2 linked regions of the Xenopus tropicalis genome follow. The protein of the gene in region 2 interacts with the protein of the main gene of each other region in a biochemical or structural test. Links are inferred from orthologs where the notes say so. Each region holds a gene or a part of one and is shown on either strand. Other genes may lie near its edges.

Region 1 (6,111 bases), on a different chromosome or scaffold from region 2:
AATGGCAACAGCCATCATAAGGTCTGACAATCAATAAGTTAAAGCAATGGGTAAACATAACTTATGATTTCCAAGTTTGGTTGTTTTTTTAAGGATAAGTTTAATGAAATGGCTGCAGAATATGATATACATTGTATATAGTGCAAACATATAAATGCAACAGTTCTATTATCATGAAATCCTCACCCTCTTCCAAAAGAACACATTGCTTAGTGTACAAAGGCTACAAAAACAACTGGTTAAGTTTTGTTTATCTGGACTTCTGTTGCTGAAGATGTTTGCTATTTTCTTATTGCTTCTATGAACAGTTTAATATGATAGAAAAAAGAAAATAAAAATATTTTTTGCTGTCTTCAGATTCAGATTCTTGTGAGAAGAAAAGAGAGATCACATAACAACAACAATAACATAAAACAAGGTTATATAGGATGATAAAAAGACATCAGCTTTTCAATGCAGTTACCTCAACTAATAAAGTATAGGGTGGACAACATGTCTGAGGCAAACATATCTGGACAGAGTACTCTTTTATTGCAAGAAAAATAGACTTTCATTATCTCCATGCTAAAGCAGTCTTTGGTAAAGCCACAATTGCCTGAATTGTCTTAATCATTAAAAAAGGGGTTTTAGCTCTCTTTATTTAATGTTTATGTGCCAGGAAATATAGGATACTGGTGAATGATGACAATGAATGTTTACAAACTCTATTTGTTTTCAGACAACACAGACTATTGATTATTTCAGTGCTTATGACAAAGTGTAACCAAGGCCTGGCTTTAGGCATTAAACTAGAGATACAGCTTGTACGTTACAGATGTCATGTGAGCATTAGAGATGTTAACTGTGCTGCTCCTGGGCATACATTCTACTCAAACAGTAGGTCATTTCAGTTAAGGTCAAATAAATACACATTTAAAGAAAATCAATCTTCTGTCTAATGCTATTAATATTTCCCACATCTCTTATTAATTGTGACTAGTCTCCTGTCATACTGTATGAAAAGAGTATTGTAAATCAGGAGAAGTCACACACACACTATATGGCAATATATTGTGACAGGACAACATTGGCTTCCTGCTGTTACCAGGTTCCCTTAGGACCTTAACCATGGCAAAGCTAATGCAAAAAAATAGCATTTTGTTCATCAGAGAGAAATATCTAGTTTGGTATATTTCACCATATTATCATAGTGCTATTTGTTTTTGGGGGGTTTATGCAAATAGTATTGCTGGATGGTGTTCTCCACAATTTCCCTTACCCTTTTTAATTATGTTCTAATTACTTTCAGATGAATAGAGCATAAAAAATGCAGTAGAAGAGGAAATATGTTATTATCTATTATTGAAACAGGAGCCAGCTCTAACCAGCTCCACATTATACACTCGGCATGATACACATCAAGCCTATTTACAGCACTTCCAATGAACTCTGTGGTTGCACAGTTCTCATCTGTGGGGCTCTCAAAAATATGCTGATGTATGAATTCATCATAATGAACCACAACCAAAACATTAAAATGAAAGGAAGGCAGTGTCTTGCCAAACAGAAGCCGTAAAAATGTTTTTGTTCTTTAGGAAGAATAAAAAGCTTGAATTAAGATTTAATTAATTTCCTTTCTGTAAGAAGCAGAAACCACTGTTAAAATGACCATATAACATAAAGATCATCTTGCTAGCTGATTTGCCTTGAATAGTATCAAATAAAAAGTACATTTTAAAAGAGACTGAGCATAACAGGGGATACAAAGATAACCTGAAATGTTCTTTTACCCTTCTCATTTTAATTTGTACCTACAGTAAAGTATATATATTTATGCTTGAGGGTATATTGGTAAAGAAATATGTGTTTCTGCATATCAGTCAAAAACATTTTAAATGATGTTAAGCAGTAGCATTTTTTGTATACTTCCCATAACTGAAAAATAATCTGATCACATGGGTTATTTGGCGTCGAATGCACAGTCCATTACTAAAAGGAAGTTGGTAAAAGCTGTTTAGTAGCAGGTAAACAACATTAATAAAGGAATGGCAAAGTTCTATAGCAGGGGTGGTATAACACAGAGTATTAGAAACATACCTAAGCCAGAGCTGTTGCAATCTGTTGCATTATACAGTTACCAAATGTTCTCTCTGTTCATAAGAAACCTACATGTAGGAATTAAAAATGACAATATTGCAGTTCACTTTTGCTGTTGTCTTTATATGAGGAAGAAATACCTTCTTTTTGGGATCAGGAGATTAAATAGGTGTGACACTTTTTCTTTCCATTTCTCAGTCTATGACAATGTTTTAGTCCCTGCAGAAGACATACTCGGTGTAGCTTGTCCAGACTTTATCCTCACTCTGGTCATTGCTGGCAAAGGCACATGTTCCAGTGGAACTACATGCCACCATGTGGAAGCCAGCTTCAGACAGCTTGTCAAAGGCTTGTTCCAGGAAGTTGAACTTGAGGTAATACCTGGAAGTGTACCTCTCAGGTGGCCTATCAGGATCTCGACTCTCATTTAATGTCTCTCCAAAAACTTCCTTGGCCAAGGAAGTTTTGCCACAGACTGTGATGCGAGCTACCCTCCGAAACTTGGCATCTGCTTGAGCCTCCCGTCCTATAGTATAAGACCCCCTATAGCCAACTGTTATGTACCCATTTCTTCTTCCTTCCAAAGACTGAGAAGGTGTGAGGCGTGGAACTGAGGCTGGGCTGCAGGACGAGGAGGCATTGAATCGATATGGATCTAATGTTGGGGATGGAACCCCAGCTGCTGGAGATGTTGAGGCAGGGATAACAGCTGTGTCTGAGTCAGGATCGTGTATAGCTGCAGGGGTTAGAAGTAAAGGTGGTTCTTCACCCCCAATAGAGCTCTCTTTACTGACTCGCAGAGGATTTAAACGCTTCACCAGTTCAGGTAGCTGAAAGTGCTCTGCTTCTCTCTGTAAACGGCTTCTCTCAGGAAAGTAGTCAGGTAGGACCAGCTGCAGGTCTCGTAGGTAATCCAGCACATAACGAAATAAGAAACCATCCCGGTCTAAGAAAAAACGGCCTTTACTGTCCCGGGCCAGTTCTCCTGGTTTCTGCTGAGAAAACATTCGCCATAGCAGGGAATCAGGTACTGATACAAGAGTAGTGTGACGGGTCACATAAACTTGTCCCCCAACATTTAGTTCCACAATCTCTGGGAACAGAGGATCAGAAGTTTTGTTTTCTGTACAACCTCCACCGCCACCTCCACCATTTGGTAATCCACGTGCAGTATCAGGTAAAGCCATGAAGACTAGGAGAAGGAAAATATTAATATACCCCTTCTAAAACAAAAAAAATGAAAAGGGTAAAAACACTTGGAAAAAAAAGAAGCATAAAAACCTGTTCTCGAGCAAAGCACAGTTTCAGCTAGGGCTGTGCATGTGCAGCCAAGATACACAGAAGAGCCGACTAGTCTGCTTCCTTCCTCCGCTTCTCCTTGTGTTTCTGATTGAGAGAGATGGCAGGGTCTGTGTTTTTATGTGGAAATGTACACTAGAGGCGTGGGAGGGAGGAGGGGAACGAAGAGAGAAAGCCCAGAGACAGCTGATCACATACACATACAAAAAGGGGATGTGTGCAGTACTGTATTTGCAAGCTTTGCAGCTGGATCCCTGCTGTTATCCACTCAAATAAAACCTGCACAGCTCTGCAACTTGCTTCTTCCTTCTCATAAACAGTTATTATTTCAAGGCATAAAAAGTAACATTAGCATTCATTCAGTCAAGTAGTCAGCAGCTTCCACTCATCTATCTTAATGCACAGTCTTGTAAGAATATGTTTGCTGGAAAGGGTAATTATAACATGTGAGACTGACATTCATGGAATAAAGGCACAGTCCAAGTCTCTAAAGAGCTCTATAGTATATCTGATACCTTCCTTTGTATAGCAGGCACAAAAAATACATTGCCAACAAATATGACACACACATTAAGTAGCAGCAGAAAAAGAATAGTATAGAAATATAGTTTTAAAAAGAATTGTTCCGATAGCTAAGTGATAAAAGCTGAACCTCATCTTATTTAGTTATATATTAAGTCAGCAGTAAGTAAATCCTTTAAGGTTTATGACTGCATTCTTATCTACAAATAATAGGGTTTATGCAGCATGGCTGAATACAGAATATACTGAGCACTGCCCATAACAGCTGTAAAAAGATGTTAATAAAAGATAGCTGACTATATATATATATATTGTATATATATATGCATTATGTTAGCATTACAGTCTAAAATGTCCATATTAGTATGAGAACACATTATTTTTCTTTTTCTCTTATTTTGTTCTTCCAAAAAAAAAAAGTAAAATATGCTATAATATCATCATAACATACATTATTTGTGTATGTCTTTTCATTCAGATACATAGGGTAAAAGGGTAACTTTTTCAGGTAAAGAGGAATTTACAGGCTAAGGTTTTGTCACATTCTCATACACACACTATGGCCAGTGTTGGACTGAAGTGGCAGGGGCCCACCATAAAACCCTGGACCGTGGGCCCACTCTCAGAACTTTTATTCTTCCTCTCCTCCCTCAAACTCTTTATTATCCTACTCTTTTTTCTCTACATACTATACTCTATTCTTCCATCTTGCAAGCTTCCTTGTCACCATACAGAAATAAGGAATGACTATGAAATAGGCTAAATAGTTAGAAGCAAAAGGGCTCACTGATACCTGGGCCCACTGGGAGTTTTCCTGGTATCCTGGTGGGCCAGTCCAACACTGACTATGGCCAATATTATGGCCAATATTAACTAGAATACCCAGAAGAAACTGATACAAGCATGGGAAGAACTTGCAAACTTCGTGTATATAGAGGAATATTTATCAAATAAATCAAACAACTCTCTGTTCACTTGTATAGGTTGTTAGGGCATATCTGTAAATTCTCACTTCCACCCATTGAGAAATATGCCCCTACTAACCTGACCATACAAGCAAATAGAGATCTGTGAAACTTCCCTCTGGCACCTGTGGCAACCTCTGTTTTCCCCTATTAATAAAAAGTTCCAGTGTTACCTGGTAGGAAGTGAAATGTAGAACCTGCAAACCAGCAATGCTAACCACTGATATTATATGATATTAAACTTTTCAAATAACTTGTTTAACCGCTGTTTTATATACTTCCGAATTATGGTTTGGTTTATAATTACATTTATTTATAAATATTTCTGATTCCATATTATTATTATTTTTTTTTTTAAAGGCTTTATTTTTTCATTTTCAGTAAATAGATACCCCAAGGATGGGGCAGAGGGGAGAGGGATGGGGGGATAAAGGGAGAAACTACCAGTAATGAAGTCTCTTGTAGAATAAAGTTCAAGTTATTTGCAGTTGGAGTACTCATCAGCGGTAGTTTCCTGGCAGGAAGTCCATGCGTCCTATATTTTATTACATTTGGTGGGGCAGCCTCGGCTCTGATAGGTCAAATTTAAACATGGGAAGAATGTCATTCACAAGCTTTTTTCAAAATTATAGGGTGTGAGGTAAAAAAAATGTTGGTTTATTGACAAGGAATTAAATTGTCAATGTGTCTCAGCAGATACTGTATATTATCAGTGACTTGATGCAACCTGGGATTGTAGGAAGGGAACAATCTTGTCCCAGTATAAGGTAATCATTGTACAAGACAAAAAGGCATGTAAATAGGTACTTGGGGCCAACTGGGAATTAAAACAAGGGTTGGTGGGACATATAGTTTGCACGCATACTGTCATATAGTACAATCTATGAATCACTGTATATTGGATAAGAATATCTGTACTTCTGATCCCTGACAACTTAAAGTTGTATTGTCCCAGTCATCAGTGTTTAAAGTGCGTATATTGTGCATATAAAATTTTTTTGTATGGGTTCCCTCTTGGGTTTTGAGCAGAAAGTAAACCTTGGACAATAATTTTTCTCATTGGGCACCCTTAGTACAGTCTTCAGGGCTGAAGGTTCCAATTTGGGCATAGATTAAAACAGTGTATTGAGAGCATGTTGTACCCGGAGATACTTTTAGAACATGGTGTGAGGTAATTCAGGTACCCTGAAGCCTCTTTAATGAATTCAGAAGGCCCTTCTCTCCATCAGTTGATCCCCTCCATAGTTTT
Region 2 (6,331 bases):
TATGGCTTGCTCTAAACCCCTGATTATAGCCCAAGGCCCCTAATATTTTCTACCACTGGTCACATGACATAAAAATCAGTAAAATTAAAATGAAAGTAGTTAGGGCAGCATGAGTCAACTGATGTCCACGGATGTATCTGGTCAGTTTAATAGTCTGAAGAGACTACAGACAGAAGCTTATAGGGCTCCTCTGACACTTTCAATGGATTTCCATCATCATGGAGGATTTTATGTAGCAACAATGCATTGTTTTCCATAATGCACTGTATACATGGGTAATTTTAGATTGTATCTGTATTAAAAATGATTACAGGCATGAATACAGCTTAAAATAAAACATGGCATCACTGACTTAATACATTATTTATACTGACTGGTGGAATTTCATTATTTAGGGGCCAATAATATTGTTATTTAAAAATAAAAACACTGATTCTTACCGAATTAGGCACTATGTATCTAATACATACAACTATTATTACTAAATTTGGAGATGAAAAGTAAGAAAACATTCTGATTTAACAAAAAATGTTATTTCTACTTTTAAGACCCCTATGGCACAACATGGATCACAAAAAGCCCCTTTATTAAATCTAATATTATACAAATAGAAATTAATCATTGGCAGCTAATGGACTTTCTTGATTTTTTTTTATATGTATGTGAAAAGAAAGCAAGAGCTTTAATGAGTAAGGATAATAAGGGTATTTTGAATATTTTAGATATTATTAGATAATTAGAAAGTAAAAAGCCTACCAACTGAAAAATAAAATGAATTTGACACTGTTTAATATCTAATAAAAGCTAATTGTTCATGTAAGTGTTATATTGTTATTATTGTAAAGTTGTTTTACCCAAATCTAAATATTTTGGTATAGTTGCAGATGATATAATGTATATGTGCATATATAGAATACACCCCACATAATTGCCAGGCCGCTAATGCAAAAAAAAGCACATTATATATATATATATATATATACAGCCCAAAGTGAGGAGGGCTTTACATTGTGAAAGGCTTTAAAAACATCTACTTATAACATAACATATAACCTCCACACTTACTGGGCAAGTGGCATGCTGTTTAAAATGGGTGACTGTACACAAATTGTGTGCATCATTCTATCTATGGCAATGAACAGCTGTATATCTGAATGACAAATTTTTTAAAAATGTGCATAAAAATCTGACAGGATCAACAGAAGGGATACCTGCTTGCCACATATGAAAACAAAGAATAAAAACTCTATGGACAGCAGTACCAAAAAATGTAAAAATGATTTATGAATTAATTATGCTATACATCATTTTGTGGCCATTATAATTATTATTTTTATAATTAGTATTTATTTTGCAGCTATTTTAACTACATGACTCAGCCATGTTTCTGGCAGGTTCAGGTACCTGGAAATGTATGTATTGCTAATTGCATGGGGGTAGATGTAGCTGAACAGCTCCAAACTGCTTTGTTCCAAGGGTTGCCTTGGAAATGGCCTGAGCTGCTCAACAAGAAATGACTGCCATCTTCAGGCATTTGCTCAGTCTACAGCAGAGTGCTAAAAAATATTGACTACTACTGTGACTAAATTCTGTTGGAAAAAAAGGGGGTGGGGGCGCAAGGAATTAATTGCTGTACTAACTGTGTTCAGTTTCCAGCACTTATGTTATAATAGATAATAACAAAGAGAGCCACATCTATTTGTAATAAAGCAATGTAAGTGATTATTGCTTAAATTAAATACTGTTAATTACATGATGGAACAGTCCTAAGGCACACTGTTACTTGTATATTTTGGAAAATCATTGGACTGTACAGTTTGCTTTGGTGCAAAACATATATGTTAAGTGTTTTATAGTTTTGTATTGTATGTCTTGTATCAAATCATAAATAAATAACATTACCCATTTTAGAATAAATAAGGATTCCCCAACTAGCCCTACTGTACTCACCTAAAGGTAACAATGGAAATGGCCATTTACTCAAGAAATGTCAGTTACTGTAAGAGATAACTGTGGTAGTCTAGGCAATACTGATTAGTATTCAACTGCTAAATACAGCTAAAAGGACATAGTTCCTTGTGCGCATTAAATAGGCTGCAAAGGACAGCAAGAACCATTATCAGCCTCAGCATTTCATCTCATACCCAATTATATCCCAGCATTTCCCATTTATTTTTCATTTACAGTACATACTTAACGTTGTTTGCAAAAAATTCTAAATATGATGTGCATCTGTTGCTAAATCGACTGAGGGGGAGGGATGGACTTGAAATGAAATTCCAAAAATCAAAGTACACGTATGAGTCAATAAGGTAAATACAGCTTATGTGATGAAGGAGAGGTTTGGATAACATTTTATTGAAAATAAGATCCATATATGCATATATGTATGTATAGTCACAGTAAAAACATAGCAGGGAGGTAATCATGCACCTATGCAGCATCATGGAGGAGCCGTGCGGCAACTCTGCATTCTCCTCATCCCTGCGCTGACACCCACTTTTTCATATGCTATGGAGAAAGCATGTTGATATTTGTTGTGCAAACATATATAACATACATTTCCACACATCATCACTCTCTGCTCAGGTAACTGGTGTAACTGCTCCAAAATCAGTTGCAGGAGGTGCATGCCTTTACAGCCAATATAGCAGCAATGGGTGATATAGTTAACTCTTTCACTATCACTAGGTATGCCTGACTACCACACAGATTAAAGCTATTTTAGGTATACAGAGTACATCTAGGCTGCTAAGGTAGCCAATATTACGATAAACATTTGAAGGTGCATTAGTATGGGTTCTTACCGCTGTATCATAAAGCTTTAGGTCCAAGAAGTAAGGGTGCAGGAGGGATATATTGCGGATCTGATCGATAGCCAGTTGCACTGCGGGCAGGACGCCTCTGCCGATATTCCCCTTTGCCACAGTCTCGTTGAGGGGCATCAAGCCCATGATGGATAGCGAAGTGCCATTGGCAGGCTGTTCGATTGTCGTGCCCCTTGATCCATACACGAAACCAGGTCCCAATCCCAAACCCAATACCAGCAGCAGGCATTGCGGAGGCAGCATTGGCATCTGAATGGCAGGTTTAGGTGAGACGCCGGTGGCGGATTCAGCACCACCAGCGCCAGCAGCTTGTGGGGTTTCAGCACCAGGGAGAGCGCACGGCGAGTTCCAGCGCCTCCTCGGGGACGGAGCCATAGCTGTGTGTGTGACTGCAAGGTACCAGGAGAGGGGCCGCCTCACTCCGCTCTCATCTCACAGGCGGAAAGCGGGCATCACAGCACGGAGGCAGCACATACACAGCACACGCTCAAAGGCAAGGAGGGGGCACGGACGCCCCCAGTCCCTTCTTCGGTAATGCTAAAGGGCGCAGTGTTTTTCTCTATCATTTAGATCTGGTGTAGGCAGGGTGCAAAAGAATAAAAAGCAAAACGATAAACCGAGGGCAAATCATAGCAGGTATCCAAAGTGTAGGCTTCCAGGAGACCTCTTCCTCTCTTTCCTATTTGTTTTCCTTCGAGGATAAGGGTCTTCTACCCCCTCCCTTCTAAACACACACACACACCCCTGACAATCCTTCTGTCGATGGCGCCTCCTCCTCCAGAGTTCCCAATTGTAACCCCGCCACCACCGGTGCTAGAATCATGGGCATGAGCAGAGAGGTGTTTAGCACCAGAGAGGGAGCTCCTTCATTGCACTTCTACATCTGATCAGCGCTGTGCAGTCGTCTCTTGTAGAAGCAAAGTGTTGCAGATTTAGCCTACTGTGTCTGCACCTTAGCCAAGCACTTCCCCAGGGACCAGACAGACGCCAACCGTTCTAAGATCTGAAGAGAAAGATCTCTGGGCGCTGCGGAATCTCCAGCGGTGACAGACGCAGGAAGAAATACCGCATTGCTGCTCTACAGACGTTTGCGTCTAAAGCTTTGAGCGGTGTGCGATTGCTTCACAGAGGGATGAGAAGAGAATTGCTCGAATATATGTTTCCTGGCGCCTGTACAGTGGCTGGGATTGGCCGTCACATCGAAGTCTTGAAAGCTGGGCGCAGCACCTTGTGCTCACATTGAAACATCAAATGGTTTAGGCACAGGGCTCATAGATGGAGAACAACAACTACCAGGAATATATACATTTATTTGGGGTTGCCTATTGTACTGCTTGGTTGGTACTGTATTTGTCATAGTTTTGTCAACAATCATATGTTCTGTTTTTAGCTTTATATTCCTCCTTTTCGGTTCCTTTGAAAGTTTAGTAAATGTGTACTTCCTTCCAGCTGCTGCCAGTAGGTATGTGCAGGAGACAGCTACTGGACATAGGGTGAAGACACATGGAGCTACTAGTAACAGCTACTTGTGGTGGCTACTAAAATAGACAATGCTGATTATTTACTGATAATTGTCGCAATGTGTGTTTTAGCAGAGGCAATTCTCAGTATTGTCTTGGGCAGGGTATTTGCTGGGGTTTAGTAGCAATGAAAAAGTAGCTGCTACTAGTAGCTCCATGTGTCTTCAGACTAATTAATTTTCTTTTTTTATGAGCTTGTGCTATTTTTGCTTCTCATGCCCTACCTTTACTTTGGGGTAAAGTATTGGCCTTTCAATATGTAGCCTTGCTGGACCTGGGAGCATTCTTGTTTTCACTGCATAGGCTGCAGTGACATAGATTATGGCTTACAAAAATAGCCTTTTTATGGCTTGAACTTCTACAAATTCTTTCCTGTGCTGTCTAACATAATACATGTTTCATAAAATGTATAATTTATGTGTAACAAAAAGCTAGATTTCCTGCTTCTTCAAATTTAGAATTTTGCACTACTTAAAACCTCAATCCCCACACTTCAATAATTTGTATCAATACTAGTTTCTTGGGTTAAGTAGATACCAGTTTGACAATTTTTCTGTAATAACTGTGGTACATTCTACTAGGCAGATTTGCTCCAGGGTAGGGTAGGGTTAGTCTAATGACATTTATGCAACTTTAATTTTAAAGAATGTCACAGATATTTTTGTTTGATCAGTGCTTTGACTGGGACAATGTAGGATGGTTGCCTTTTTGTTATTAAGCCACTCCTATGTTATTTTGGCATGGTGTTTGAGATTTTTGATGAAATACAGCCACATAGCATGATTCAACTAACTACCAAACTTTACTGTAAAGCTTGGCTAATTATATCAATAGCGCTGCATAAAACTGGCCTGTGGCATAAACAAGCCACTGATCCAAACAACAATGTGAAAGTAAATCTCTTGCCAAAAGGAATGAGAGTTACCCAGCTGCAATGTAGGAAAGGCATTTGTGGTGAGATGAGGCCAGGATATAACTTTTTGCCAAAGTTCAATGCAATATGTTTCATGTAACTCTAATACATTAGCAAGGGATAGCCACCATGTCAAATAAGGAAGAATGGTGCAAAGCACAATAGAATACAGCAAGAGAACATAGTTTAGTCTAGTAAAAAACTGAAGGTTGGACAAATGTATATCCTTCAGCACAGCGCCAGATTGCACTGAAATGTATATCCCTCAGCACAGCGCCCCCTCCCCCCGTGCATGAGCAAACGCACGATAGGCGCGCACCCCCCCCCCTCCGAACTCGCGATCGCGCATGTGCAGGACTTTACACTCTGATACGGAGCAGTGACGGAGAGGTCCCCATTGCCTGTACTAGGGATAAAATGTAACATTTTGGTGTGGCCCCAAATTTGTGCCGCCCTAGGCCTTTGTGGCCTTTCCACAAATCCAGGCCTGCTTCAGCAGGACAATGATCCTAAACACAAGACCAAATTAACAATCAACTGGTTTAGGAGCAAAAAGCTGCATGTCCTGGAGTGGCATGGCAAAAGCCCTCATCTCAATCCAGCTGGTACTACTCACAGACTGAGGTGCACAAATCTCATTCGACTGACCTGCGCAAAAACCAATCAGTTTGCAAAGCTCATAAATACCTTAAAATACTTATATCTGTTATTGCTGCAAAAGATGCCTTAGCAAAACATTGAGGGGGGTTTGAGGCAAATAACATATTACTTCTTAATTATTTCACAGAATATTTTTTGTAACATAAACCAGTCACATTAAAGGTTGTTCACCTTTTTACAACATTCACAAATCTAACAGTTCACATTAATAGAACAAAATTTTCCATATACATCAGAATCATCTCTCTGCTGATCTCTCACTTCTGCACCCAGACCCTGTGCTGGGGGGGGCTATTAAAACTACAGTTCCTTTTTTATTCCCTTATACGCTGTCACACATAGAACTGGCAGTAGACTTAACTCCTACTGACTGTGTCTTTTGTCAGACATTGCTTCCTGTGCCTCCTGTG

The links. The genes of interacting proteins can lie anywhere in the genome.
Region 1: the proteins of gabbr2 (region 2) and kctd12 form a complex in vitro, tested with the Homo sapiens proteins (2 studies listed by BioGRID). The link is inferred for Xenopus tropicalis from reciprocal best matches to the Homo sapiens genes GABBR2 and KCTD12.

Annotation. Positions count from the first base shown.
Region 1 is NC_030678.2:126,318,689-126,324,799, reverse strand, and holds kctd12 (BTB/POZ domain-containing protein KCTD12), read right to left. Parts: upstream 3,455-6,111; 5' UTR 3,264-3,454; coding exon 2,289-3,263; 3' UTR 84-2,288; downstream 1-83. UniProt on the Homo sapiens protein: Auxiliary subunit of GABA-B receptors that determine the pharmacology and kinetics of the receptor response. Increases agonist potency and markedly alter the G-protein signaling of the receptors by accelerating onset and promoting desensitization.
Region 2 is NC_030682.2:77,690,071-77,696,401, forward strand, and holds the start of gabbr2 (gamma-aminobutyric acid type B receptor subunit 2), read right to left. Parts: upstream 3,510-6,331; 5' UTR 3,204-3,509; coding exon 2,808-3,203; intron 1-2,807. UniProt on the Homo sapiens protein: Component of a heterodimeric G-protein coupled receptor for GABA, formed by GABBR1 and GABBR2. Within the heterodimeric GABA receptor, only GABBR1 seems to bind agonists, while GABBR2 mediates coupling to G proteins.